Mus musculus: one gene and its partners. The protein of the gene in region 5 purifies or fractionates together with the protein of the main gene of each other region. This does not show direct contact. Links are inferred from orthologs where the notes say so. Each region holds a gene or a part of one and is shown on either strand. Other genes may lie near its edges.

Evidence for each region.
Region 1: the proteins of Dyrk1a (region 5) and Fntb purify together in Homo sapiens (affinity purification with mass spectrometry; 3 studies listed by BioGRID, counting the BioPlex papers as one). This does not show direct contact. The link is inferred for Mus musculus from reciprocal best matches to the Homo sapiens genes DYRK1A and FNTB.
Region 2: the proteins of Dyrk1a (region 5) and Fam53c purify together in Homo sapiens (affinity purification with mass spectrometry; 8 studies listed by BioGRID and IntAct, counting the BioPlex papers as one, with this or other methods). This does not show direct contact. The link is inferred for Mus musculus from reciprocal best matches to the Homo sapiens genes DYRK1A and FAM53C.
Region 3: the proteins of Dyrk1a (region 5) and Rb1 purify together in Homo sapiens (affinity purification with mass spectrometry; 4 studies listed by BioGRID and IntAct, with this or other methods). This does not show direct contact. The link is inferred for Mus musculus from reciprocal best matches to the Homo sapiens genes DYRK1A and RB1.
Region 4: the proteins of Dyrk1a (region 5) and Lrch3 purify together in Homo sapiens (affinity purification with mass spectrometry; 3 studies listed by BioGRID and IntAct, counting the BioPlex papers as one, with this or other methods). This does not show direct contact. The link is inferred for Mus musculus from reciprocal best matches to the Homo sapiens genes DYRK1A and LRCH3.
Region 6: the proteins of Dyrk1a (region 5) and Ywhae purify together in Homo sapiens (affinity purification with mass spectrometry; 4 studies listed by BioGRID and IntAct, with this or other methods). This does not show direct contact. The link is inferred for Mus musculus from reciprocal best matches to the Homo sapiens genes DYRK1A and YWHAE.
Region 7: the proteins of Dyrk1a (region 5) and Troap purify together in Homo sapiens (affinity purification with mass spectrometry; 6 studies listed by BioGRID and IntAct, with this or other methods). This does not show direct contact. The link is inferred for Mus musculus from reciprocal best matches to the Homo sapiens genes DYRK1A and TROAP.

The regions. Positions count from the first base shown.
Region 1 is NC_000078.6:76,906,967-76,910,466, reverse strand, and holds part of Fntb (protein farnesyltransferase subunit beta), read right to left. Parts: coding exon 3,393-3,500; intron 278-3,392; exon of another isoform or gene 257-277; coding exon 124-256; intron 1-123. UniProt on the Homo sapiens protein: Essential subunit of the farnesyltransferase complex. Catalyzes the transfer of a farnesyl moiety from farnesyl diphosphate to a cysteine at the fourth position from the C-terminus of several proteins having the C-terminal sequence Cys-aliphatic-aliphatic-X.
Region 2 is NC_000084.6:34,758,101-34,762,126, reverse strand, and holds the start of Fam53c (protein FAM53C), read right to left. Parts: upstream 2,801-4,026; 5' UTR 2,530-2,800; exon of another isoform or gene 1,150-2,529; intron 1-1,149.
Region 3 is NC_000080.6:73,319,323-73,322,822, forward strand, and holds part of Rb1 (retinoblastoma-associated protein), read right to left. Parts: intron 2,822-3,500; coding exon 2,695-2,821; intron 1-2,694. UniProt on the Homo sapiens protein: Tumor suppressor that is a key regulator of the G1/S transition of the cell cycle. The hypophosphorylated form binds transcription regulators of the E2F family, preventing transcription of E2F-responsive genes.
Region 4 is NC_000082.6:32,973,100-32,976,599, reverse strand, and holds part of Lrch3 (DISP complex protein LRCH3), read right to left. Parts: intron 2,721-3,500; coding exon 2,627-2,720; intron 872-2,626; coding exon 751-871; intron 1-750. UniProt on the Homo sapiens protein: As part of the DISP complex, may regulate the association of septins with actin and thereby regulate the actin cytoskeleton.
Region 5 is NC_000082.6:94,674,706-94,678,205, forward strand, and holds part of Dyrk1a (dual specificity tyrosine-phosphorylation-regulated kinase 1A), read left to right. Parts: intron 1-2,746; coding exon 2,747-2,887; intron 2,888-3,500. UniProt on the Homo sapiens protein: Dual-specificity kinase which possesses both serine/threonine and tyrosine kinase activities. Exhibits a substrate preference for proline at position P+1 and arginine at position P-3.
Region 6 is NC_000077.6:75,753,387-75,756,886, reverse strand, and holds part of Ywhae (14-3-3 protein epsilon), read right to left. Parts: intron 1,314-3,500; coding exon 1,207-1,313; intron 71-1,206; coding exon 1-70. UniProt on the Homo sapiens protein: Adapter protein implicated in the regulation of a large spectrum of both general and specialized signaling pathways. Binds to a large number of partners, usually by recognition of a phosphoserine or phosphothreonine motif.
Region 7 is NC_000081.6:99,077,973-99,080,940, reverse strand, and holds part of Troap (tastin), read right to left. Parts: intron 2,695-2,968; coding exon 2,618-2,694; intron 2,306-2,617; exon of another isoform or gene 2,293-2,305; coding exon of another isoform or gene 2,244-2,292; intron 2,158-2,243; coding exon 2,039-2,157; intron 137-2,038; exon of another isoform or gene 76-136; coding exon 1-75. UniProt on the Homo sapiens protein: Could be involved with bystin and trophinin in a cell adhesion molecule complex that mediates an initial attachment of the blastocyst to uterine epithelial cells at the time of the embryo implantation.

The DNA of each region.
Region 1 (3,500 bases), on a different chromosome or scaffold from region 5:
GGTATTCTGCTCCGAGAGCCCCAAGGGTGGGAGGCTCCATACCAGCCCTCAAAACCCCAGGCAGTCAGAGTTTCCTTTCAACAGTGCTGGGTTAGCGACAGACCAGTAGCAGTGTGGACTCACCTTGAGCGTGGAGGGCTCGGTGCAGCAGGGGCAGGAGCCCTGCCTGCCAGAAGGAGTAGCAGCCGTCCACCAGCTTGTTGCAGCGGCCCTGAAAGCCTCCTTCAAACCGCATCTGCCGGCTTGTCACCCATTGCTGAGAAAAGACACGGTAGAGGTGGGTATGAGCCAAAGACATACAGCTACAAGGGCCACTCGCTCCGTGGGAAAATGTCTGGGGTTCTGGCTTCCCTTCCTCTCCTCCCCTTCCCCAGTGGCAACTGTCATTTAAACCTGGCCATTTTGAAACAACGGGCAGTGATCACTGCTCAGGGCTGAAAAGACAACCACCATTTTTCACTTAGCATAAAAAGTGAAAGGTTTCTTCTTTGTTACACTGTGTGTGTGTGTGTACATGTGATAGATTATATACATATATATATATATATATATATATACACACACACACACACACACACACACACACACACACAGATATATCTTCTTTGTCTCCTTCATTGCTATTTCCTGTCACCCCCTCCCCAGGTTTGTTCTTTTCTCCTCCCCAAATAGTCACCCAGCACCCTGTTACATATAGCCCATTACCCTCTCTTGTTCCCACTAGGTCCAAATCGAAGCAGGTGCTGAGTGCAGAGGCCCGCAAAGGTCTCTAAAAACACAGCTTGGGACAGAAAACTCAGGCAGGAGCACTTGTCTCTTTTCATCACTTCTCACGGGAGTTTGTTCAAAGCAGAGGAGGGAAGTGTTGGGCTGATCTCATCCGATGACATCAGGCTAGCCCTGCCTTTACCTGGTACCTGAGGACGTGCACTCAAGTCCCTACTAGGACTGAGAGCCACTGAGCCTTGCTACCGAATGATTACTTCCTGGTCTAGCCTCCAGTTCTCCTGGGGTGATACAAGGGAAATCTTGGGCTGAAGCTATAAACTGGCACTTGTCACCCGGTGGCCACACCTGATACCACCGCTCCTGGCTTATCTCCACATTCTCTAAACACACTCCAACAAGATAGCCTTGGAGGGATGAGCAGGGCAACTAGCTGAGCAGATACAATGCTCTCTCTCTTCCTGCTCAGCCTGAGGCCACAGAGCTGCACCACTGGACTGAAAAGGAACAAGGGGCCTATGCCCAGAACCCGAAGCCCTCCTAGACTGAGTTCCTGAATGCAGATGCAGGGGACTCTTTAGAGGAAAGCCTGGACTTCTTCAAATATAATAGAGTTAGAGTATGCCCCTGGTCATGGCAATACAAGTCAGCCTCGGATGCCTAGACGGACAGAAACCTGTGTGTTTAGGTAGTAACACCCTCCCCCCCAAAGCTGGTCTTAAATGAACCTTCAGGAACTGCTATTTAATGACAGTCAGCTAAACACTCAAAGGGGGTGGGGACGGGCAACAACTCTACCTTTGACTCACCCCAAAATGTGAGTAGATTCAAGTCATGCTTTTGTTCCAGTGCCTAAAGCCAGGGGTTGGTTCCACTTCCCTTGGATATAGGAAATCAAAGCCACCTCCTCCCTCCCCCTCTCTCTCTTGTTTTTCTGAGACAGGGTTTCTCTGTGTAGCCCTGGCTGTCCTGGAACTTGCTCTGTAGACCAGGCTGGCCTTCCACCCAGAGATCTGCCTGCCTCTGCCTCCTGTCTGTGCTGGGAGTAAAGGCGTGCACCACCACTGCCCGGCTCAGATACTGGTTGTTTCTAGCAAAGAGAGGGAAGGGGGTCACAGGGAGAAGGAGGGCTAGCATTTATGGAGCACCCTCTGTCTACCAAGCTCTTTATGGGTCGTCTTCTTTAACCCTAAGGAATAGGGATTATTATTCCCACTTTCCGGAGGGAAAGAGACAGCGCAGCTAAAGCAGATCAGAAAATAGTCAGGGATTTTTGGCTAAGAGGTAGATGCAGCGCAAGCCTACAGCACTGACATTTTAAACTTAGGCATGCACTAGTATATTCCTCCTTTTTGCCTACAGCATGTGTACTGGCTGGTTTTGTGTGTCAACTTGACACAAGCTGGAGTCATCACAGAGGAAGGAGCCTCAGTTGAGGAAATGCCTCCAAGAGATCCAGCTGTAAAGCATTTTCTCAATTAGTGATCAAGGCAGGAGGGCCCAGCCCGTTGTGAATAATGCCATCCCTGGGATGGTAGTACTGGGTTCTATAAGAAGGCAGGCTGAGCAAGTCAAGGGAAGCAAGCCAATAAGCAGCTCCCCTCCATGGCCTCTGCATCAGCTCCTGCCTCCAGGTTCCTGCCCTGTGTGAGTTCCTGTCCTGACTTCCTTTGGTGATGAACAGCAGTGTGGAAGTGGAAACTGAATCAACTATTTCCTCCCTAACTTGCTTCTTGGCTGTGGTGTTTTCACTGCAACAATAGAAACCCTGGCTGAGACAACACGGGACTTTACATTTCATCTCCTAAGGATGATCATATTGTAAAATGTACCCTCAAAGTTGGTCATTCAGTATCAGTTTTCCAGAACCTCCACAGCGCATGCTGTGTGAGAGGCTTTCTCTCACAATGAGGGCACAGTGCTGCTTGTTACACTACCACAAAATATAAAAGCAACACTCTAGAGGGCTCAGGACGGCTCAACAATGAGGGCTTGGCATCCGCTCTCAGAGAGAGCTGAAGGTCTAGTGTAGCTGGTTTGCTTTCATGATAGCCAGGGGAGCGATACCTCCCAAAAGACAAAGGGACCATATTCTCTCTGTATGTCCTAGGTTTCCCTTAACATGACCGCTTTTTGAGCACTGGCCAAGAGCTTGGGGGGTCTAGAAGAGATGTCCAGACCTCCCAATAGCATTTTCCCAGCTCTGCCTGGGGAACTTGCTGGAATGCAGATATGGAATTTTCACAGGTAATAAATCCTTGGCTCTTAAATGCTTCAAAGCTCTTCTGAGAGCCTCTTCTCTTAGGTGATTCTAAGACACATGGTAATAGTGAATCCTGTGGGACCATTGCTATTCTTGGGGCAAAGGTACAATGGCTCATTCCAGGTGGTGGGTGGAGGACTCAAGTCCACTCTGGGTCTGTTCAGAAACTTCAAAACAGGCAGGAGGAGAGGTAGGAGAAGGGAGTTGAGACCGAGGGCAGCTGTTTGCTCCTTCTGCTGACTCAGGGCTGGGCAGACACCAGCAACCACACCTGAGGCTCCATCTGCGCTCAGTGCCTGAGCTCAGCCCTCCTTTCCCATCACCAGACTTCCCCATGGTCCCAGAGATCGAGTCACATCACCAGTCCTAGGCTCGGGGAGAGGGTGGTGCAACAGCTACTCACTAGCAAGCTCTTCAGGTTCAAAGAACGTTCCTTCTTGAGGATAACCAGCGCAGCCAAGCCACAGAAGGTGTAGCCACCGTGGGCTTCCATCCCTGGCACCCCACCAAT
Region 2 (4,026 bases), on a different chromosome or scaffold from region 5:
AAACAAAAACAAAAACAAAAAACAAACAAACAGAAAAACCCTTCTAAACCACAGGGGTTTAGTACAGAGAGAGGAGCAAGGGCTGGGCTTTCAGTTTCAGGTCAGATTAAAGAGGATTTTAAATGAACAGCTGATACATCACTCTTTCCTAGTAGATGCTGCTGGTTATTCTCTTATCCAATGAGAAAGAATGGTCAGTTCCAATCACATTTCAACTCTACGGATATTAAAAACAACTCATGACTTCATCCAACAAAGTTGTGTTGATTTTCATGATCCCACTTGAAGACCATGGATTCTTCCTTAAGACTGAAGCCAACTGACTTTTATCTGAGAGCAGCTTCTAAACCCCACACAACTGCCTACCTACGGGGCCTTGGCCTTGCTCTGAGGAAGAAGGAAGGGAGGTTAGTGATGCCTTTGTTCTACCTCTTCCCATCAGTGACCAACAGGCAAGGCCAGAGTATGTGGAGCATTAAACTGGCACAGAGAACAGTCAGCCAAGAAAGCTAACTCTTGGGCAGACACCTGTAATCCCAGCCCTCGGGAGATGAAAGCAAACAGAAGCTCAACAGTTCGTGAAGGCCAGCCCGGGAGGAAAAAAAGCTGCCACTATCACCTAATCCTTAATCCAATTTACTCAGGCAAGTTTGGCTAGCCATATAACATTCCTGCTTACCCATATGTAAAATGGGTATAACGATCTTACTCTATCACAGGAATGAGGCCACATGAAATATCAAAATAGCTTACCAACTGGCCTATATAAAATAGTTCACACAGACTGTTGTTTCTTCTCTCTCCCTTTGCTGTTCTTCCAAGCCTTGGTGTGCCTAAAGAGGTGGTATCATTAGGATGAAGAAAGCTATGCATCTTTCTCTGGCTGGAGGCCAACCTCCGTCACTTGCTCACTAAGTTGAAGCCTAAGGGGTCTTCCTCCTGTGATGTTTTGGAGAAGCCCACCCACTGCAAAAACGAGGGTGTCACTTCAGAGGCACATGACAAAGAGCAAAGGTCCTGTGGATGTGGATGGAGTTCTTTGGAAGGACGGCGCAGCCGTCAATCATCACTCTAGCTAACTATGGTTTCCATGCGTAATTATCCCTACCGTTCCGAACAAAGTTCCAGCTTCCTGAGAACCAACTCCCTTCAGCTGCTTCCCCTGGGTTCTGGTGGGAGAAGCTAAAGCTTGAATCACTTCTGCTCCCATTCTAACTCTGTCCTCAAAAATGATGAACAAGAAGGGAACCTAAGTGGAGAATCTTACCCTAGAGAGACCCCAGGCTCCAGGCTGACCAGCCATGAGGAGCAGGGAGTGAAAAACACTTGCAAGCTTTTCAGTGAGGCAAACAGCAAACTCCCAGCCCTCTCTAGCAGCAGCTGAAGAGGGTGATTTCTCTTTTTCTGCATTTTAATTGTCGGGATGTGGCCACACACAGCGGTAATTGGAACAATGCAACTACCACCACGCAACTGATACTCTCAGCCTGAGTTTCCTAAAACAGGCCAGGCTGAGAGGGGCAACAGAACGGAAGCCATAAGGAATCAAACCAGGACACAAAAGAAGGTAAACCAGCTCTGCAAGGGGCCTCCTCGTTCTCAAGCAGACATTTACAAAGTGTGAGAAGCTCTCTCTGGCAGCCTTCCTTCCCTTCCATTTTGTGTATCTGAGGGGTAGACAGCTCTCAACATTTCACTAAACAAGTTAAAACTTCTCAGCTGAACGTTACTGGCACAAGGCTCAGCCCTTCACTGAGCAAGAAGGCCGCTCGGCCCTCCCAGTAACCCCACCAGGCCTAACTCTCTGCCCAGAATCTCCCTCCACCACAACCCCCCAAGATGACGACTAGACCCCCCCACTCCTATTGGATGGAAGCAACTCCTGACACTTGCGTTTCTGGGATACTTAGGTTGTGTTGAAACCTGGACGACCTAAGATCCAGTCAGGCCAAGGGAAAAGAAAGTCGCAAATCCCCTGGGGACATTCCCCCCAGGTCTCCCGGTCCCACACCTCTGGGAGAAACTGAAGGAAAACATAAGCGAGGCAGGGAGATGCAAGAAAAAGGTAAATGGATATTAGAATGCTCTTCTTCCATATGGCTCTCGTGAAGACAGGGGTGACAAGTGGGGTGCACCCATCCCCCACCGCGACGAAAAAGCAAACGACTAGGCTCCCTCTAATCCTCAACCTCTCCCTCTGTTGCCCTGCCTGTCCCCGCGGGGTGGGGCATGAGGCATCTACTGGCCCCCGGGGGGGCACTCCAGGGTTTGCTCAGAGAGACTGTCGCTCTCTTCTTTCCATTCTGGTTCCCCATCTGACCGCGGGAAGCGAACTCAGGACGCAGGGGATGGGGAGGGTCTGGGACATGCACTCCGCCACCCCCTCCCCCACCGGGTCCCGGGTTCTCCCGCCGAGACGGCCTAGGAGGCTCCGCCGCACCAGCGGCTGGACTGGGGGATGGGAGAGAGGGAGGGACGGTCGCGGTGCCCGCCCCGAGGCCCCAGCACCACCTGCCCTCCGCTACCTACCGCGGCTCCTACAGCTCCATGGGCCGCGGCCGGAGCAGCTCTGAGCGCTCCGTTCGCCCCACGGTGCCCTTAAAAGGCGCTGGCAAGAACCAACCGGTCTTTGAGGAGAGTATGGGGGATCGCGTCTATTCACAGAATCCCCCGGAACCTGCCGAAGAGGCCCAAGCCCTACGTGGTGTCTCCCTTAATCTTTTTCAGAATAGCGCCGTCGGAAAGGAGCCTAGAGCTGTGGTTTGGGGACCGGAGTGTCTCCTCACTAACTAATCACCCCCTCCAAAATAACGTGGAAAGTGGACAGGCCCAGTTGGAAGCATATCACGAAGCCCGTAGGGGAAGCCATGTCGGATAAAGGTAAACAAAGCCATTGTCCACTCCTTCCACTAAACCATCCTCCCAACTGAACTATCTGACTCAGCTCAGGCCACGAAACAATATTAGCCACAGTCTTCTCACCTGGCCTCCTTTCCCTTCCGACACAGCCACCTTTCTGCAAGCATCCCCCCACCTTCCCCCGGCAAGGACTGATCCTCGGCGTGAAGGCTGCTGGGAAATGTAGTCCAAGCGCCGGTCAAGGCCTGCTCTGAGTAGCCGGAGCCCCTCTTCTAGCTGCCAGATCTGCTAGAGCTTTTATAAACCTGAGATTTATAACGGTTGCGGAGCTGTGTCCCCTTGCTCTGTAATTTGTTCTCACCCAAAACACTTTGTAAAGCTGAGGCGGACCCGAGGCTGTTCACTCCCTCCCTTCCCTTTCCTCCTTACCGCCCCCCCCCCAGCAGGATGAGGTAATGGGATTGTGATTATGACATCATAGGTGGCTCAGTTGCGGGGTGTATGGGGGGGTGGTGGTGGAGCAGGATGGTTCTGGCTGGACCACTTAAGACAGAAGGAGGGAGGAAGCTGACATATGAGGAACCGATTTCAACAGTACTGTATTTCCTCTTCAGGAACTGGAAACCACATTTTTATTAAGTCTGTACCATTATCACCACCTCCCACCTCAACCAAAGTTTTAAGTTTTTTTTCAATAGGCTGGGTGTTGATGTCAGTAGGGAAGAAAGCCCATAGAGGCTTCTGGCTCTTCTGTAAATTGGAGGTCTCAGATGGGAAAAATTTTTTTCAATAAATGCTCTCATGCTCAGATCACTGTAGGGCAGAGTTTCAGATTCCTTTCTTTAGTCGGATAGAAAGTGGTAATTCCAGTCATTTCATTATTACAGTTGTAGCAGCAAATCCCTAAAAGTCAAGGGTTTACTCTAAGTGTTTTGAAGCCCCCTCATCTGGGATAGGGAAACAGGTAGACTTAGTGATAGAGAACTTCATCTTTGAGCTGGGCCGGGGAGGAAGCAGGAAGCTTCAAGTATGCAAACTGAAAAAGAAGAATTAAAAAATGTATTACAAAGTTGAGGTGGAAGCCGGGCGTGGTGGCGCACGCCTTTAATTCCAGCACTTGGGAGGCAGAGGCAGGCGGATTTCTGAGTTCGAGGCCAGCCTGGTCTA
Region 3 (3,500 bases), on a different chromosome or scaffold from region 5:
ATGTGTTAGATACTTTCAACACTGCAGAATATAAAGTCAACAAGCAAAAATAAGTACCTTTCTACATACCAATAACTAACTTGCCAAGAAAAGAAAAGATCCCATTCCTAACAGCTTCAAGAGCATGGTGTTACACACCATTAATCCCAGCACTTACAGCAGGGCAGGATCTCTGTGCTTCAAGGCTGCTTGGTCTACATAATAAGTTCTAGATCATTTAGAATTACAAAGCAAGACCTTGTAACAACAAACAAACAAGACAAAAAATATTAGCTTCAAAAAAGAAAATGCCTAAGAATCAACATAACCAAAGTAGTAAAAGACCTCTACAGTGAAAATTTAAGAACCCTTAAGAAGATGAAGATACTAGAAAATTAAAAAACAAACAAACAAAAAAGTCTTATGCTCTTGGGTTAGCAGAATTAATACTGTGAAAATAGTTACATTACCAAAAATACCTATAAGCAATACAATGCGAGGCCTATTTCTAGTGACATTCTTTACAGAACTAGGATGATGCCCCTTAGCAATGTTAGTTTGAATAGCCAACCTGACACAGTGTAACATTACTAGGAAGGGAGTCTTCAGGAATTCTTTGGACACAGCTATGGCAAGCTGCCTTGACTGCCTTAATTGCTGGGGAAAGACCCCACCCAATCTTTTCATTGAAATGGGAAGACCTAGCCTGAGAGTAGGCAACACCATTCTAGGGTTTTTGCCTCTGAACTATATAAATTTTCATAGAGAAAATTCTATGAGTACTGGGCATGCATGCACTTATCCCTGCCTGCTCTTTATTGTAGGTGTGATGTGACTAGTTGTTTTAAGTTCTTGCCTCTTTGACTTCCCTATTATGATAGACTATAACCTGGAATTGTGATTTAAAATAAACCTTTCTCTTGTAAGTTGTTTTTTGTCAGGATATTTTATCACAATAGAAATGAAACTAATATGAGGTGACAAAACATTCTGAGTAACAAAAGCAATACTAAGCAAGTGTCAGAATAGTTGATTTCAAAGTATACTGTAAAACCATAGTAACAAAACTGTATGATATTGGCATAAAAATACATGGACCAACAAAGAGAATTCAGAATTAAACCTATACATTTATAGCCACCTAGTTGTTGACACTGGGGGAAAAAATCCTCTTCAAATAATGCTGAGGTAATTGGGCATCTACCTGCTGTAGATGTTTAACTCAATCAATATCTTTTGCCCAATATCAGGCCAGTGAGATACTTTAATGGGTAAAGGCAATTGTTAAGCCTGATAACCTGTATTCAATTCTAGAACCCATACGGCAGAAAAACTGACTCCTGAAAGATGCCCTCTGACCACGACACATGCAGTGCATGAGAGCATGTATGCACACACATTAAACAGACAGACAGTCAGACAGAGAGACAGATTGTGATTAAACATAACACAGGGCTGAGTGTGGTGGGGCACACCTTCAATACCAGCATGTATTGAAACTGATAAAGAACCTCAAATTTTAAATATTATTAAAGCAAATCATTCACTCAAAATACAGGTTAATGAACCAACTAAACACAGTTCTCAGAAAAAGATATACATAGGAGCACTAAAAATTTGAAATGGGGAAATGCAACTTAAAACTGCTTTGAGATTCCATTCTGCCCAAGTCAGCATGGCTAACATCAAAACAACAAATGTTAGCTGGCAAAAATGTGGGAAAAGAGAGCCTTATATACTGTTGGTAGTAAGGTAGAGTAGGGCAAACACCATGCAAGTCAGTGTGAGGTTACATAAAACTGCCATTCCACTATCTTATGTATGTCCAAAAGACTCGACGTCAAGACAGCAGAGAGATCCATGTTTCCTGCCATACTACTAAGAATAGCTAAGAGATAGAGCAAGTGGAGATGTTCATCCACCCATGCACAGATGAAGAAAGCCAGTCAATATATATAAAATAGAATTTATTCAACCACAAATAAAAATGAAATCACATTATCCTTACAAAAATGAATGCAACTGGAGGTCAAAATAAGTCAGACTAAAAAAAGACAAGTATGTTCTCTCCTATGAAGATTCTAAAACTTAAGTGAGTGTGTGTGTGTGTGTGTGGTCACGAAAGTTGGAAAGGGAGATGAGAGGAAGAGAGTTTTAAGGCATAGGGGAAAAGAGTGTGTGACACAAATGTGTGTGGCACAGGTGTGATACAAATGCAGGAGAAGCCGTCTAGAGGTGGCAGGGGACTAGCAAATGGAAGATAATGGATGGGAAAGAAGAGTGGGGGAGGAGATGAATAGAGAAAACAACAATGGTGTATCTGTACAAAAACTGTCACAGTGAAACTCGTTACTTTGTATATCAGTTTAAAATGAAGCCAGTTCAATGGTTGTGGGTACTTGGTGCCCAGCAGGCCTGGCAACTTGAGTTCAATCCCTAGGCCTTCACTAAAAGCAGAAGGAACACAGCTCCCACACCACCACCACCATCATCATTATCATCGTCAGAATCATCACCACAGCCACTGCCATCATCACCATCACCATCAGAATTTTTTTCATGTAAAATAAAAATTAAAAACCTAAGAAACCATTGAAATGAAAAGCATTCTAGTGCTATCAGAGGGTACTCTTGGATAGTGAAATTATCACTAACTTTATATATTTTACTTTATAGATTTTCTTTTTAAAAAATTAACTTTAAAAGCATTCTTACCAGGATTCCATCCACGGATGAAACTTTCTCCCAAGTTAGCCAAGCTCTTTCTCTGACATGATCGGGTACCTTTAACTTTTGACATAATGCAATAAATTCGGGTTCTTCAATTTCTTCAAACTCAAGCCTACAAATTAAAAAGTTACAAAATTGATACACTTGCAGATCAAACTAATTAAGCAAACACTTGTTTCTATAGTTTGCACACACCAGCACAGTTTTGAAAGAGAACATCTCTGAGTGCTTTAAGGTCTTACTTTATCTTTGAGAACCATTACACATCATTTAAACATATGCTTATCTTTTTTGTGGGTTTTCCAAATAAGACTAGCACAAAGTGAAGAAGAGCTGCTAGCATGGTGAAGCACATATACTCCAGAGCAGCCGGACAGCATTGTGAGACACAGCAAGTGCACTAGCTAAAGCACACTGGGAAGACGGAACTGTCACAGCAAAAACGAAAAAACCACACCCTGGTCAATCCATACATTCTCTCCACCTTCCTGTATTTCTTAATGATTAACTTGATAGAAATGATTGCATCACGTATTTCAGTCCTATCTCTTTGACCTTTCTTAACTGTAAGCTTTTAATGGCTAATTCCTTTCAATTTGACATATAACAACAACACTAGGAAGAGCAACTTAATTCTTGAAATTTTACTATGATCCTATGCATGGTTTTCCTGAGTCCCCACATCAGCCATACTTGGTAAGTCTTCCCATTCATGTTTTACACATCTACCATATTAGGGAAATTAAAGCAGTCACTAGAGGCATACCAAGTGGAAATTACCCAGGTATGAA
Region 4 (3,500 bases), about 62 Mb from region 5:
CCCTTGATAATAAATAGATAACTATTTCAAAAAGCTAAAAATAAATACAAGCAAACACAATTGATTGCTAAAAGAGCTCAAGAAATCTCTTTAAAATGGAAAATCTTAAAAAGAGACAATGTTACTTCAGAAGACTGTAGTAAGATCAAGATGAACAAAGATCTATTCTTCCTAAAGTTTCCCCTCAAATAAACATGAAAGAGAAATTATAAATTGAAAATACAGAGAAAGTGAATTTTATCTGAATGGTAAACTTTTTTTTGGTCATATATAAACAGAAGTCTTCAGAAGGGTGAAGGATCTACAGAGAAGCAAACTAAAGAGTGGGTGTGACAAAGACCACTTCAAAAACGGTAAGGAGACCAGCAACTTCCTACTTCTGTCGCCATGCCTTTCCAGTCTACTGCCAGTCTACTGATGGTGGTCTACTGCCGAGCTCTCCTCATCAGGAGGGACAGGATCCCTCTAGAACCCTAAGCCACAATAAACTCCCTTAAATCAAAACAAAAAAGTTCAGGTGGGAGCTGGGCTGTGTTGTAAAGTCCTTGTCTCTGGCCCACACGGCCCTGGGTTCAATTCTCAGCACCACAAAACCAGGTGTGGTGGGATACAACTGTACCCCCAGGGCTGGGAGAAGACTGGCCATCCTTGGCTACATAAGGGGTTTGAGGGCAGCCAGGGTTATAGGGAGAGCCTGTTATATAACAAGGCACACATGAAGGCTTTAAATGTCATCAGAATCGTGTGTACCTCCACCATTTGTGACCGCCACACTGCTGCGATTCTCCTGGTACTGGCTTTCTCTCCGCAGTCTTTGCTCTTTGGTAATCTCTGCCACTCGAAGAGGCAGATCCGAAAATTCATCTGTAGGCTTAAAAAGCAGAAACATTAAAAACCATCATTTCCAATTTTAGATAACATACAGTACAGGAATATAAACTGTAATCTACATAGGAGAAGAAAAAGCAAAAGTTTTAGAAATTAATAGAGAATATTGTATAATTCTATGAACACAATTAATGCAACTGAAATATGTACTTTAAATAGGCAAACCTTACCACAATTAACAAAAATAGAAGGATATTCAGAACTGTAAGCAAATATATACATAGGTTTAAAATATCTATGTATATATACACACATTGCAATATTCAAAAAGATAGTCACCAATACATACTATACTGGCTAGTTTTATGTCAACTTTTCACAGCTGGAGTTATCATAGAGAAAGGAGCTTCAGTTGAAGAAATGCCTCCATGAGATCCAACTGTAAGGCATTTTCTCAGTTAGTGATCAAGGAGGAAAGGCCCCTTGTGGGTGGGACCATCTCTGGGCTGGCAGTCTTGGGTTCCATAAGAGAGCAGGCTGAGCAAGCCAGGGGAGGCAAGCCAGTAAAGAACATCCCTCCATGGCCTCTGCATCAGCTCCTGCTTCCTGACCTGCTTGAGTTCCAGTCCTGACTTCCTTGGTGATCAACAGCAATGTGGAAGTGGAAGCTGAATAAACCCTTTCCTCCCCAACTTGCTTCTTGGTCATGATGTTTGTGCAGGCATAGAAACTCTGACTAAGACACATACATACATACATGCATACATACATATATAGCTAACTACAAATTTCAAGTTTTGATCTAATTTTGTTTTGACTTACTATTTATTTAATTTATTTACTTATTTAGGTTTGACAGGGTCTCACTATGTAGCTCTGGTTGGCCTGGACTTATATAGTCCTGGTTAGCCTTGAACTCACAGAGATCCACCTGCCACTGCCTCCTGACACTGAGATTGAAGGCATTCAAGGCACTGTGCTACTCACCAGGCTTCTGTCTGGAATCTCAATGACACAGTGTTATAAAATGGCTGTTATCAGCACCTCTAGCAAACGTGTAGTCCTTTAATTGGTAGTTAAAATATATCCTAGTAATTTTACAAAGCAATGGATTTCATTGGAAACTCTAATAGAATTAATTAATCAAAACAAGAACCCATGCAATTTGTGGCATGTGAATGAACTCACTGAGCTGTGCCACCTTCTGTGGGGCTCCAGCCAGTGCCTGCTGGAGAGGACTCCACTTTTGAGCTGTCACTTAAAGCTCAGGTTCCCCTTCCTCACCCATCAGTGTCCAGTCCTGCGCACTTTCCCAGCCTCCAGCACACCCATTCTATCACCATCTCCGCCGCAGACCACCCTGGCCCTCACATGGATGTCAGGGCTTCTCATGGGGTTGAGACAGTTGCTATGCAGTGCAAGCTGTTCTGGAACTTACTGCATAGGCCAGGCTATCTTCAAACCATGGTCCTCCTGCCTCAGCCTCCTGAGAGCTAGCTAGGGTTATAGAAATGTGTTACCACAGCCACTAGGCTTCAGCTTTAACCACCTCACTTCCTACTCAGCTTTCCAGAATATCTGTGCATAAGACTGGGTAACAAATCTGAAAGAGGATACATGGCAAAAGGTGCTTTTAAAAGAAACAGTGTAGAATTCCCAGGTGGTAGGACTATGTAGGGTTTTTGCTCTTTGACATTTCTCTATTTTACCTAATAAATTGAATTCCAATTTAGATATTCCCCTTAATTTAATTTATTTTTCAAAATCAGGATTTTTAACACATGAACAGAACACTTACCTCATTCCCTGACCATCTCTTATCACCACTATCCACACTATTGAAGCCTGAATCCAGGGCTCCGTAAGGACGGCCTGAGTACAGTTCTTCATGGCTGTCCAAAATAAGTGTTACATGTTACTATGAGGTTTTATATTTTTCAAAGTAGCATTTGAAATTAACCAGTTATAATTTTATTAACCAACACGCTCATGACACTTGGCCACATAAATATTTGAGCTAAGTGAGCATTCTCTGAACTTTTAAAGAAGAAAATCCCAAATAGGAACAAAGTAAACAGAATAGTACGAGGCCCCAAACTCAGTATCCAGTTTGAAAAGTACCACTGCTCAACTTTGTTTTCACTGCACTCAGTTTTAATGCCATCTTACCAAGCAGTGGATTTCTCCTAACAGCCTCTCATACTTGGTGCCAGCACACTTTGTCGCCATGGGTTCATCTCCCTCCCTCCCTCCCTTCTAGCTGTTTTCTTTCTCCCTTTCTGCTTTTCAGCACAGGTCTTCCACTGCCCTCTCTTTCCATTTCCTTAAGATCTCTTCCTCCACTCTCATGATCCTCTTTCACACACAATGATGCTAGCTTTCACACACATGCAAATGCAGGTCGGTCCTCACACAAACATCATCCTTATCTGGCTTTGGCAGTAGTGAAATCCTGACTTCCCCGGGTAAGTTTGGCAGTGTTCTTTCTCTGCCAATGGACAGCACTGGTGCTAGCTACTCTTTAAATTTTGTGCTGTTTTGAGATAGGGTTCACTATCTCACCTTGGATGTCCTGGAACTCATAATGTAGACAAAGATGAGCCAGAACTCACAAAGATCCATGTGCTGCTGCCCCTGAGTACTGGATTAAATTTGTGTGCCAACACACCTGG
Region 5 (3,500 bases):
GCCGTTTTTGTGGTCTCTCTGCCCCCTTTAGGCTCTTCATCTTTGAGTTCAACGAAAAATAATTGTTTAAAGTATTGCATATGTATAGGTAGAGAAGTGATTGGTCAAAAACTACTCCAGGCAAATCTTTTCATGTTTAGAATTTATCTGTGAGACAATAGAGTACAAATATCTAAATTTAAGTTTTATTAAACTTGAGATTAGTTATGTCTTAATGTTGAAATACAGTCTTTAGGTTAATTGAATCGCAGTGTAACTGTTACTGGTGTAAACTGAATCCATCATAGTAGGAATTTTACCTGTCCTAAACATGTTCTGGTCCTTTCCCTGTGTAAGGATTTTCTAAACAGTATAATGTAATGACTTTTTTTTTTTTTTTTTTTTAAGATTTATTTTATTAATATATGTAAGTACACTGTAGCTGTCTTCAGACACTCCAGAAGAGGGAGTCAGATCTTGTTGCGGATGGTCGTGAGCCACCATGTGGTTGCTGGGATTTGAACTTTAGACCTTCGGAAGAGCAGTCGGGTGCTCTTACCCACTGAGCCATCTCACCAGCCCCCGTAATGACTTTTTCTAGTATTTGTAATTATAAGAAACCTAGAAAAGATCTCAAGTATGAAAGAATGCACACAAATTATTTACAGATATTATTTTTGTATAAGAGATTTGAACACCTGTGGATTTGTGCATCCATAGGGTTGGGGCTAATCCTGCTCAGAACCAGTTCCTTGAGGAGGCTTGACTATGTTTGTAGTTAGCCTTTTCCAAAACAGGCTCTTCCTCTGTTTACCCTGCTGTATTATGTCAGTAAGCATGGTTTCTAGCCTTATGGTAGTTGCACTGTAGCATGAATGCATAGTTTTCACTTAAACTGTAATTTAATTAATGTCTGTAAGTTAGTAAGACATTTTTATTGGTTCTTTAAAACTTGAAAAACTGACCCTTAAAATTTCCTTCCTTTCTATCTCAGTGTTTTCCATTGTATTTGAGGTCCCAAGGTACACTATGGATCTGTATTCTTATTTGCTGATTCTCTACCTTCCCTTCTGTTGAGTGTGCAGAATGTGAGGGCAAAATGTATTATATCTGTTGGTTTTAGTGTATCCTCAAGAGTCCACAGTGTATCCATCCTCAGCGCCCACAGTGTATCCATCCTCAGTGTACACAGTGTATCCATCCTTAGCGTACACAGTGTATCCATCCTCAGCGCCCACAGTGTATCCATCCTCAGTGTACACAGTGTATCCATCCTCAGCGCCCACAGTGTATCCATCCTCAGCGCCCACAGTGTATCCATCCTCAGCGCCCACAGTGTATCCATCCTCAGTGCCCACAGTGTATCCATCCTCAGTGCCCACAGTGTATCCATCCTCAGTGTACACAGTGTATCCATCCTCAGCGCCCACAGTGTATCCATCCTCAGCGCCCACAGTGTATCCATCCTCAGTGCCCACAGTGTATCCATCCTCAGTGCCCACAGTGTATCCATCCTCAGTGTACACAGTGTATCCATCCTCAGCACCCACAGTGTATCCATCCTTAGCGTATACAGTGTATCCATCCTCAGCGCCCACAGTGTATCCATCCACAGTGTCCACAGTGTATCCATCCTCAGTGTACACAGTGTATCCATCCTCAGCGCCCACAGTGTATCCATCCACAGTGTCCACAGTGTATTCATCCTCAGCGCCCACAGTGTATCCATCCTCAGTGTACACAGTGTATCCATCCACAGTGTCCACAGTGTATCCATCCTCAGCGCCCACAGTGTATCCATCCTCAGTGTACACAGTGTATCCATCCTCAGCGCCCACAGTGTATCCATCCTCAGTGTACACAGTGTATCCATCCTCAGCGCCCACAGTGTATCCATCCTCAGCGCCCACAGTGTATCCATCCTTAGCGTACACAGTGTATCCATCCTCAGCGCCCACAATGTATCCATCCACAGTGTCCACAGTGTATCCATCCTCAGTGTACACAGTGTATCCATCCTCAGCGTCCACAGTGTATCCATCCTCAGTGTACACAGTGTATCCATCCTCAGCGCCCACAGTGTATCCATCCTCAGCGCCCACAGTGTATCCATCCTCAGCGCCCACAGTGTATCCATCCTCAGCGCCCACAGTGTATCCATCCTTAGCGTACACAGTGTATCCATCCTCAGCGCCCACAATGTATCCATCCACAGTGTCCACAGTGTATCCATCCTCAGTGTACACAGTGTATCCATCCTCAGCGTCCACAGTGTATCCATCCTCAGTGTACACAGTGTATCCATCCTCAGCGCCCACAGTGTATCCATCCTCAGTGTACACAGTGTATCCATCCTCAGCGCCCACAGTGTATCCATCCTCAGTGTACACAGTGTATCCATCCTCAGCGCCCACAGTGTATCCATCCTCAGCGCCCACAGTGTATCCATCCACAGTGTCCACAGTGTATCCATCCTCAGTGTACACAGTGTATCCATCCTCAGCGTCCACAGTGTATCCATCCTCAGTGTACACAGTGTATCCATCCTCAGCACCCACAGTGTATCCATCCTCAGTGCCCACAGTGTATCCATCTTCAGCAAACACAGTGTATCCATCCAGTTTCCACAGTGTGTCCATCCTCAGTGTACACACACAGCCTTACACAGATATGTGCACTCTATCTAGGAGAGAGTTGACAAGCAGAAGTGGATGAGTTTACAGTTGAAATTACAGGTTTTTTTTTTGTTTGTTTGTTTTTAATACAGGTCGATCAGATGAATAAAATAGTGGAAGTCTTGGGCATCCCACCTGCTCATATTCTTGACCAAGCACCGAAAGCAAGAAAGTTCTTTGAGAAGTTGCCCGATGGCACTTGGAGCTTAAAGAAGACCAAAGATGGAAAACGGGTAAAATGGGGGTGCACTTATTCTTGGTGGAGACTTCCCTTCCCCTTTTCTCCCTCTCCCATCACCCTTTTTTCTCTTTTATTGTTTCCTCATCAGAGCTGTTTGTTCATAGTTCCTTTGAATTTTCTTGCCAACTGTATTATAGTTATCAATTTTAAGAAAGTATTTTGTTCAAAAGTTGATTGTAGTTGAGCTGACTGTGCACTGGGCCAGTGTTTGCTTAATGGTCAGAGTTGTTTGGGTTTCAGTAAAAGCAAATGGACTACTACCTGCCTGTGTTTGGAGATAGCTGATAAAGCCTGTATACTTCAATACCGAATCAGTCAGTCTCAAAGCTTGTACATAGGAGTGAAGCCATAGCTGTAGACAGAAGTTATAATTGTAGTCAGTTACTAAATTTTTTAAGTAGGAAGATGATTTTTAAATTTCAGCAGTTCATGATACTTTTTTTTAGGATACCAGTCAATGCTGGAGTCTTCTGACAGGTTTCCGATTCCTTGCTCAGTGACCAAGTTAACAGGGGGCTTTCATCTTCTAATGCAATTGTATTAATTTATTAGAGTAAACAATACAAAATTTGCGTCTTGATTTTATGTCTCTGCAATTTGCCAAA
Region 6 (3,500 bases), on a different chromosome or scaffold from region 5:
GTTCTCTGCTGCCTCCTTCCTGTCATTTCCTGTGGCAAACTCAGCCAGATACCTGTGGTAGTCCCCTTTCCTACAATACAATAGTAGACAAAAAACACAGTTAGAAAATAGTCCTTACAGCATGGAAATTTTCTCTACCATGCAGTACATAACAAAATACAGTTAACACTTAAGATATAGATTTTTTTACAAAATTCAGTATCCATCAGGTTGGAAATCCTTCTTTCTTAAGGACTTCCTGGCTTTTTGCTGTTGTTGTCTTTGCTTTTTTTTTATTTTTATTTTTATTATTTTTTTTTTTTTGGTTTTTTTCAAGACAGTGTTTCTCTGTGTAGCCCGGGCTGTCCTGGAACTCACTCTGTAGAGCAGGCTGGCCTCGAACTCAGAAATCCACCTGCCTCTGCCTCCCAAGCGCTGGGAATAAAGGCATGCACCACCACTGCCCGGGCGGACTTCCTGTTTTAAATTATTGGCCAACTACCTCAGAAAATAACTGGGGAAAAAAAATTGAAAATCACCTGACTGGTACACAAATGTCTCCGAAGAAGAGCACACACTCGTCACAAAACACATTTTCTGCCATCACTTCAGTGCCCAGAACCCAGGAGCCCTGAGCAAGCTGAGCCCTGCTATTCCTGAGTTACTCTCAACCTTATTTCTCTACAGAAAGTTAAGATTATACTGTAAAATGGGAAACTTTAGCTAAGAAGGAAGCCACAAAATCAAAAACCCAGGCAGGGTGTGGTAACATATAATCCTAGCACTTTGGAAGTTGACAAGATCACCCCAAATCTGAGACGATCCCAATCTACAGAGTTCCAGGCCAATCAGAAATATAAAGACCTCTTCTCAAATAAACCTGACAACCTTAATCTCACTCAGGAAGCTGGCAGATCTCTAAATTCTAGGCTAGCATGGTCTGCCATTAGTGAGTTCCAGGACAATGGGTGGGGGAAAGGAGGGTCAGCTCAACAATGAAAAGCTGTGTATTTTGTACAGGTACTTTGCACAACAGTCAGACAATCTCAAATACAATTAATTCTTCATTAGTATTGTTTTTTCAACTAATTAAAACTGTAAGTTCTGATAACTAACCCTCCAAATTCTCAGCTATTTTTAAATAAAAGTTGAAAATCTACATTTAAAAAGTTATGGTTCTAAAGCCAACTTTAAATCTTACATTTTCCCTTCTAGTATAGAACCTACATTTTATAATAGAAAACCTTGGACTCGCCAGTGTTAGCTGCTGGAATGAGGTGTTTGTCCAGTACATCCAGAATGTCACAACAGATTAACTTGAGCTCAGTTTCAACCTAGGGAGGGAAAACATCCAATTAACTTTGGCAATTCAAAAGTCTTTATTATATTCTAAATATAATATCTGAAGAACCAAGTCTTAAAGCATGTATGTCTCCAAATCCTTAGACCTAGTCCTTAAAAGTTGATAGAAAACTGGTAAGAGTATAGAAAGCCTCTTCTTTAAAGCATACACAACCCCCCACAGTTCACCTAAAGACTAACCAAGCACTTACATGAATTAATTCCCATTGTAAGGTACCAACTGTGATGGCTACTCTTGGTTGTCTGCTTGACTATACTTGGAATAACTAAATCCCAAGCAGCCAACTTAAGGTGGGAAACCCATCCCAAATCGTGTGGAGTTAAGAGATTCACCTAAACCTGGGCTACCCCTTCTGGCGGCAGCTCATTTAAGACAAGAATGAAGAAGGATGTCGCTTTCTCTGCCCCCACTCTCACTGGCAACTTCATCTATCCTGAACCATTTCTTCCTGGTGTTAGAACGTATGCTCTGATGTTCCAATGTGGACTGAAAACTGGCAGCTCTCTACACCTCCCAGAGACTCCAGCACTAGATTGGGACTGCTGAAACATCTAGTCTCAAAACAACTACTAGATCCTTGGCCACTCTGTCAGGAGACAGATATTATTGGACTACTTGGGCTACTATTTATTTTAAAGCTAGAACATTTGTCCAAAGGCCATCAACTTGCAAGAACTTAAAAAAAAAAAAAAAAAAAAAAGGAGAATGAATGGATCAATCCCAGCACCACAACAAATATGTAAGAAGGTGACAGGACATGAGCCAAAGCAGTTCCAAGACCAAAAAAACCAAATAAACAAAAACAAAAAAACAAAAAACTCAAATCCATTTTGTCTTCAATATCAGTATGTTCCAACAATCACCCACTCTACTGTAGAGATCAAGAACCAGTTACAACAGCAAAACAAATTAAACATTGTCAAGTGTCCCTCTATTGGTTTGAATTGTCTAAAGCACATGGTATCCTTGAACACATGTTGGAGTTTGACTTCAGGTTATGTGAGTATATAATGGATCTGTGACACGGCCATGGGAATAACCGATGTTGCTATTTCTCAAGAAGGAAATGTGGAATGCCAACAAATTTGAGAAGGAACACAGGGAACACCCATGACCTTCCCCAATTTCTACAAAAGAATTAGGGTAAATGGCGTTCCTATACCTCAGACTTTTTCTGAAGGTAATATTGTTATGCCTTATATAACCTTTATATATATAACATGCTGGCCTGTGCAGCTGACCCATAAGCTCCTACCTGTTATAACAATATGTATAAATAAATACAATTAAAAAATGAGCCTTGTACAAATTGCACTGGACAGTCAGGATACCTGGATGCTCCTGATTTCCGAATTACATTTCCTCCAGCATTAGTCAGGAAAGGTGATTTGGCTAACTTCTCACAAACATCTTCATTTTGCTCTCCATTTTCAATGAATTATTCACAAACATTTTTAAAGTTTCCCATTTTTAAATTCTCCCATTTTTCTTCTATAATCTTGTCCTTAACTAGCAAGACTGCCTGCATCTGTCTTGTGGCTTTTTAACAAAGACCAAGTCACTGTTACATTCTCCTTCATCCTTACTAGCTACAGTCACTCCAAAGCTCTCCTTGAAACCTCATACTCAGCTTTGACATCACTGCATGCTACCATGCCTTTCTCCCTTGTTCACAAAATAACTAGTTCATCTCTCCAGGTACCTGACACATCACCACGGTGTAAAGAAACCACTAAAATCTTCCTCACCTGCCAAGTTTCAACAGCCCTAACTTTCAACCCTACCCTAGGCAACCAATCAGTCCTTGGCCTCCTCCTTCTGCTCCTGAGTTTCTTAGTCCACTTGAGAGGCTTATCAAGACTTCAGACTACTGACTTCACCTCCCAATTGACCAGTTACTTCCCCTGTCTCCTGATCACATCCCCAGTCTTAAACCACACTTTTTCTTAGTTTTCTCACGCCTGAGGAACACCAAATTGTCTGTCAATCTATATTCTTTGTTCTAAAAGTATCTGAAGGTACAATTCCAACTTATTTCCATAAAACCTCTGGCACATTCCTTAAGCCAGCTATATCTCCATTTTCATCATCTATAAATTGGGATAATATAATAGCTACCTTCCCAGGGTTAATTAACTAACTTCTAATGTTGCTAAGG
Region 7 (2,968 bases), on a different chromosome or scaffold from region 5:
TTTAGGTAGCGATCGGAGGGGTGTGAATTGGGCTTTCCGTCGAATGGCAAAGCGTTTCATGGATGAATATGTGCTCTGAGGAGAGAGGTGGTTGGCTGAGCAGGGCTTCCAGCCAAACTCTTCTCATCCTGCCCAGCCCAAGGGTTGTTGATAGAAATCACAGCTGAGAGGCCTGGGGAGCGAACACCCTGAGACTGTCTATAAACAGCTGACTGTTCGGTGATGGAAGGTGGTACTATACAACTGGGCTGCAGGAATGGGGGAGGGAGGGCAGCAGATGGGAGCCATCACCGTCCAGTGGAGGCCCCCAAAGCTACCTTCCTGTTCTCCCCACTGCAGCAGCTACTCTTTGGGGGCTCACGTAGGGAAGAGGCTAGGAGTACAGGCACACTGCCACGATGTGCGGCGCTTGAGTGGTTTATTCAAGTGAGAAACCAACTCTCTCTCCCTATTCATGCATCTCCCCCTGACTCTTGTTCAGCCCAAGAAAGAGCAGAGAACTTAAACTTGTTTGTAGCTCTTTACCAAGGACTTATAGTGCTTTGTCCATCTGTCCTCACCAAGGACTTACAAGTGCTCTGTTCGTCTGTCCTTACCAAGAACTTACACTGGTTTGTCTGTCCTTACCTCATCTCTCACCTGTCGTCACTGCAAACTCATCTCAGACCCTCTTCTCGTCTAGGCTTCAACCTCTCTGGTCTGTTTTGCCAACTCACAAAGACTAGATGTCTCCTCTCCTCGGGGCTTCTGCATCTGCAGCCCTCCCCATCTTGTCTGAGTCACAGCCTCAACTCTGGTCTCATAGGCAATCCTTATCTTCCCAATGACAGTGCCTTAGCCATACTACATTTTGTAAAAAGACTGCTTAGCATGCCCTTTGTAAACATTAAACAATTTTTTTCCCGAATTTATGTATGTGTTGGATGCCCATGTGAGCCAGAAGAGGGCATCAGATGTCTTGAGAGGGAATTACAGGCAGGCAGGTTTTTTTTTTTCTCCCAAGACAGGGTTTCTTTGTATAGCCTTGACTGTCCTGGAACTCACTCTGTAGACCAGGCTGGCCTTGAACTCAGAAATTTGCCTGCCTCTGCCTCTCAAGTGCTGGGATTAAAGGTGTGCGCCACCATGCCTGGCTGGCAGGCAGTTATAAGTTCTGGCAGGCAGTTATAAGTTGACCAATGGGAGTTAAGTTGCCAGCCCTACTCATCCATTCCCCTACACACACACACACACACACACACACACACACACACACACACACACACACACACACCTTCTATTTTTAAACACAGGGTTTTGCTACATAGCCGAGGCTGTCCTGGAATTCACGATGGCTCAGCCCCAGGCAATTCTCCTGCCTCCTCTGGGTTACAGTCATGTTCCACCAAGCGTGGCTCTAAACTACCAATTTATGACACCAATCCTTCTCCCACGTCCTTTCAGTACCTTATACATTTAGTTTTAGAAAGAACATGTCACCATGTGACATCCTATATATTTCATTTTACATTTGTGGGGTGGGGTTTATTTTGTCTTTTATTATTTTGCCCCCCTTTCTAGAATATACACACACACACACACACACACACACACATATGTATATATATACACACACACACACACATACACACATATATATATATACACACACACACATACATACACATACACACACACACACACACACACACACACACACACACACACACATATATTTTTTCTGGAACTAGAACCATGGCTGAATCCAAAAGCCAGTTAGCAAATGCCAGTGGAATGAAGGAATTAATGCTTGGTTGGTAAGTGTTGGCCATGTTTAAGCCACTGTACTGATTTGATAGTGACACACATAACAGTCTGTCATCTCTCACCCTGGGTCCCAGATACCCAACAAAGGAAGTCAGATCTACCCTGAAGAGGGCTTGGTCCCAACTCCAGCAAAAGACCAAATACCCTGAGTCCCGGGTCTGCCAATTCTACCCACAACCCTCAGTGTGCCTCCTGAACACCCCTTCCCCATCCTGGGAGGGTCTCGGCTCACCCTGGTGTTTGTCAGACTTTCTTTTAATGGTATCCGTTGAGCCAGACCCAGATGATGTCTTCCCCCTCCGTCGTCGGAGTGAGGGACAGCCTCCTGCTCGCCTCGGAGGGGTAAGGAAGCTGGGAGGAGACAGGACATTCATTTCCTGTAGTATCTACAACACCAAAGTCTACCCGTTCAGCATCCCCCGAGAGCACAATAATACCTTGGCAAACACTTATCAATCCCAATGCCCTGGGTGGGCTGGTGGCCATGGCTCACAAGGGACTGGGACAGAGAACACAGTAGACATTGTCTTGCAGGAAGTGGCAGGGAGAGGGCAGAAACAGAGATACACGCACAACTAGGCTGACCTCTGACCTTCCCGGGAGGTCTTGTCTGCTGTGTGTGTGTGTGTGTGTGTGTGTGTGTGTGTGTGTGTGTTTTTGGGATGTGAATGCTGGAGGAGCACGCCACCACTGAGCCAGACCTCCCTCCAACCTCTCCCTTACTTCACCCCACTCCCTGAGGCCTGCTGACCCTTGCCTTCCTGGTGCAGGCACTCACCCTTCCTTTGTTCCCACATCCACACAAACTCACCAGGCTGAACCGGGGTCTTCAGGAGCAGTCTTGAGGCTTGGCTTGCTGAGGTCCTTCTGTCAGTACAGTCCCCGTCCCTGAGTGCCAAGCAAGGGCTGGGCATTAGCTAAGGGCTTTGCAAACACCAGCGCAGTAGCCTCTAACAGTACCAGTGTTAACCTCACTTGGCCGATGGGGATGCAGAAGCCAAGACGCAGGCAGGTTAAGGTGAGCTTGCACAGCTAGTAGTGGTAAGGGTCAGGAATTGAACTCAAAAGCCATCTATTGTCAGTTTACGCTGTAGCCAAATGACGCAGCGCTCCCCATGTCCTCCATGTCATAGATAAGGCTCAGCTGTCAAAGTCTGAACCC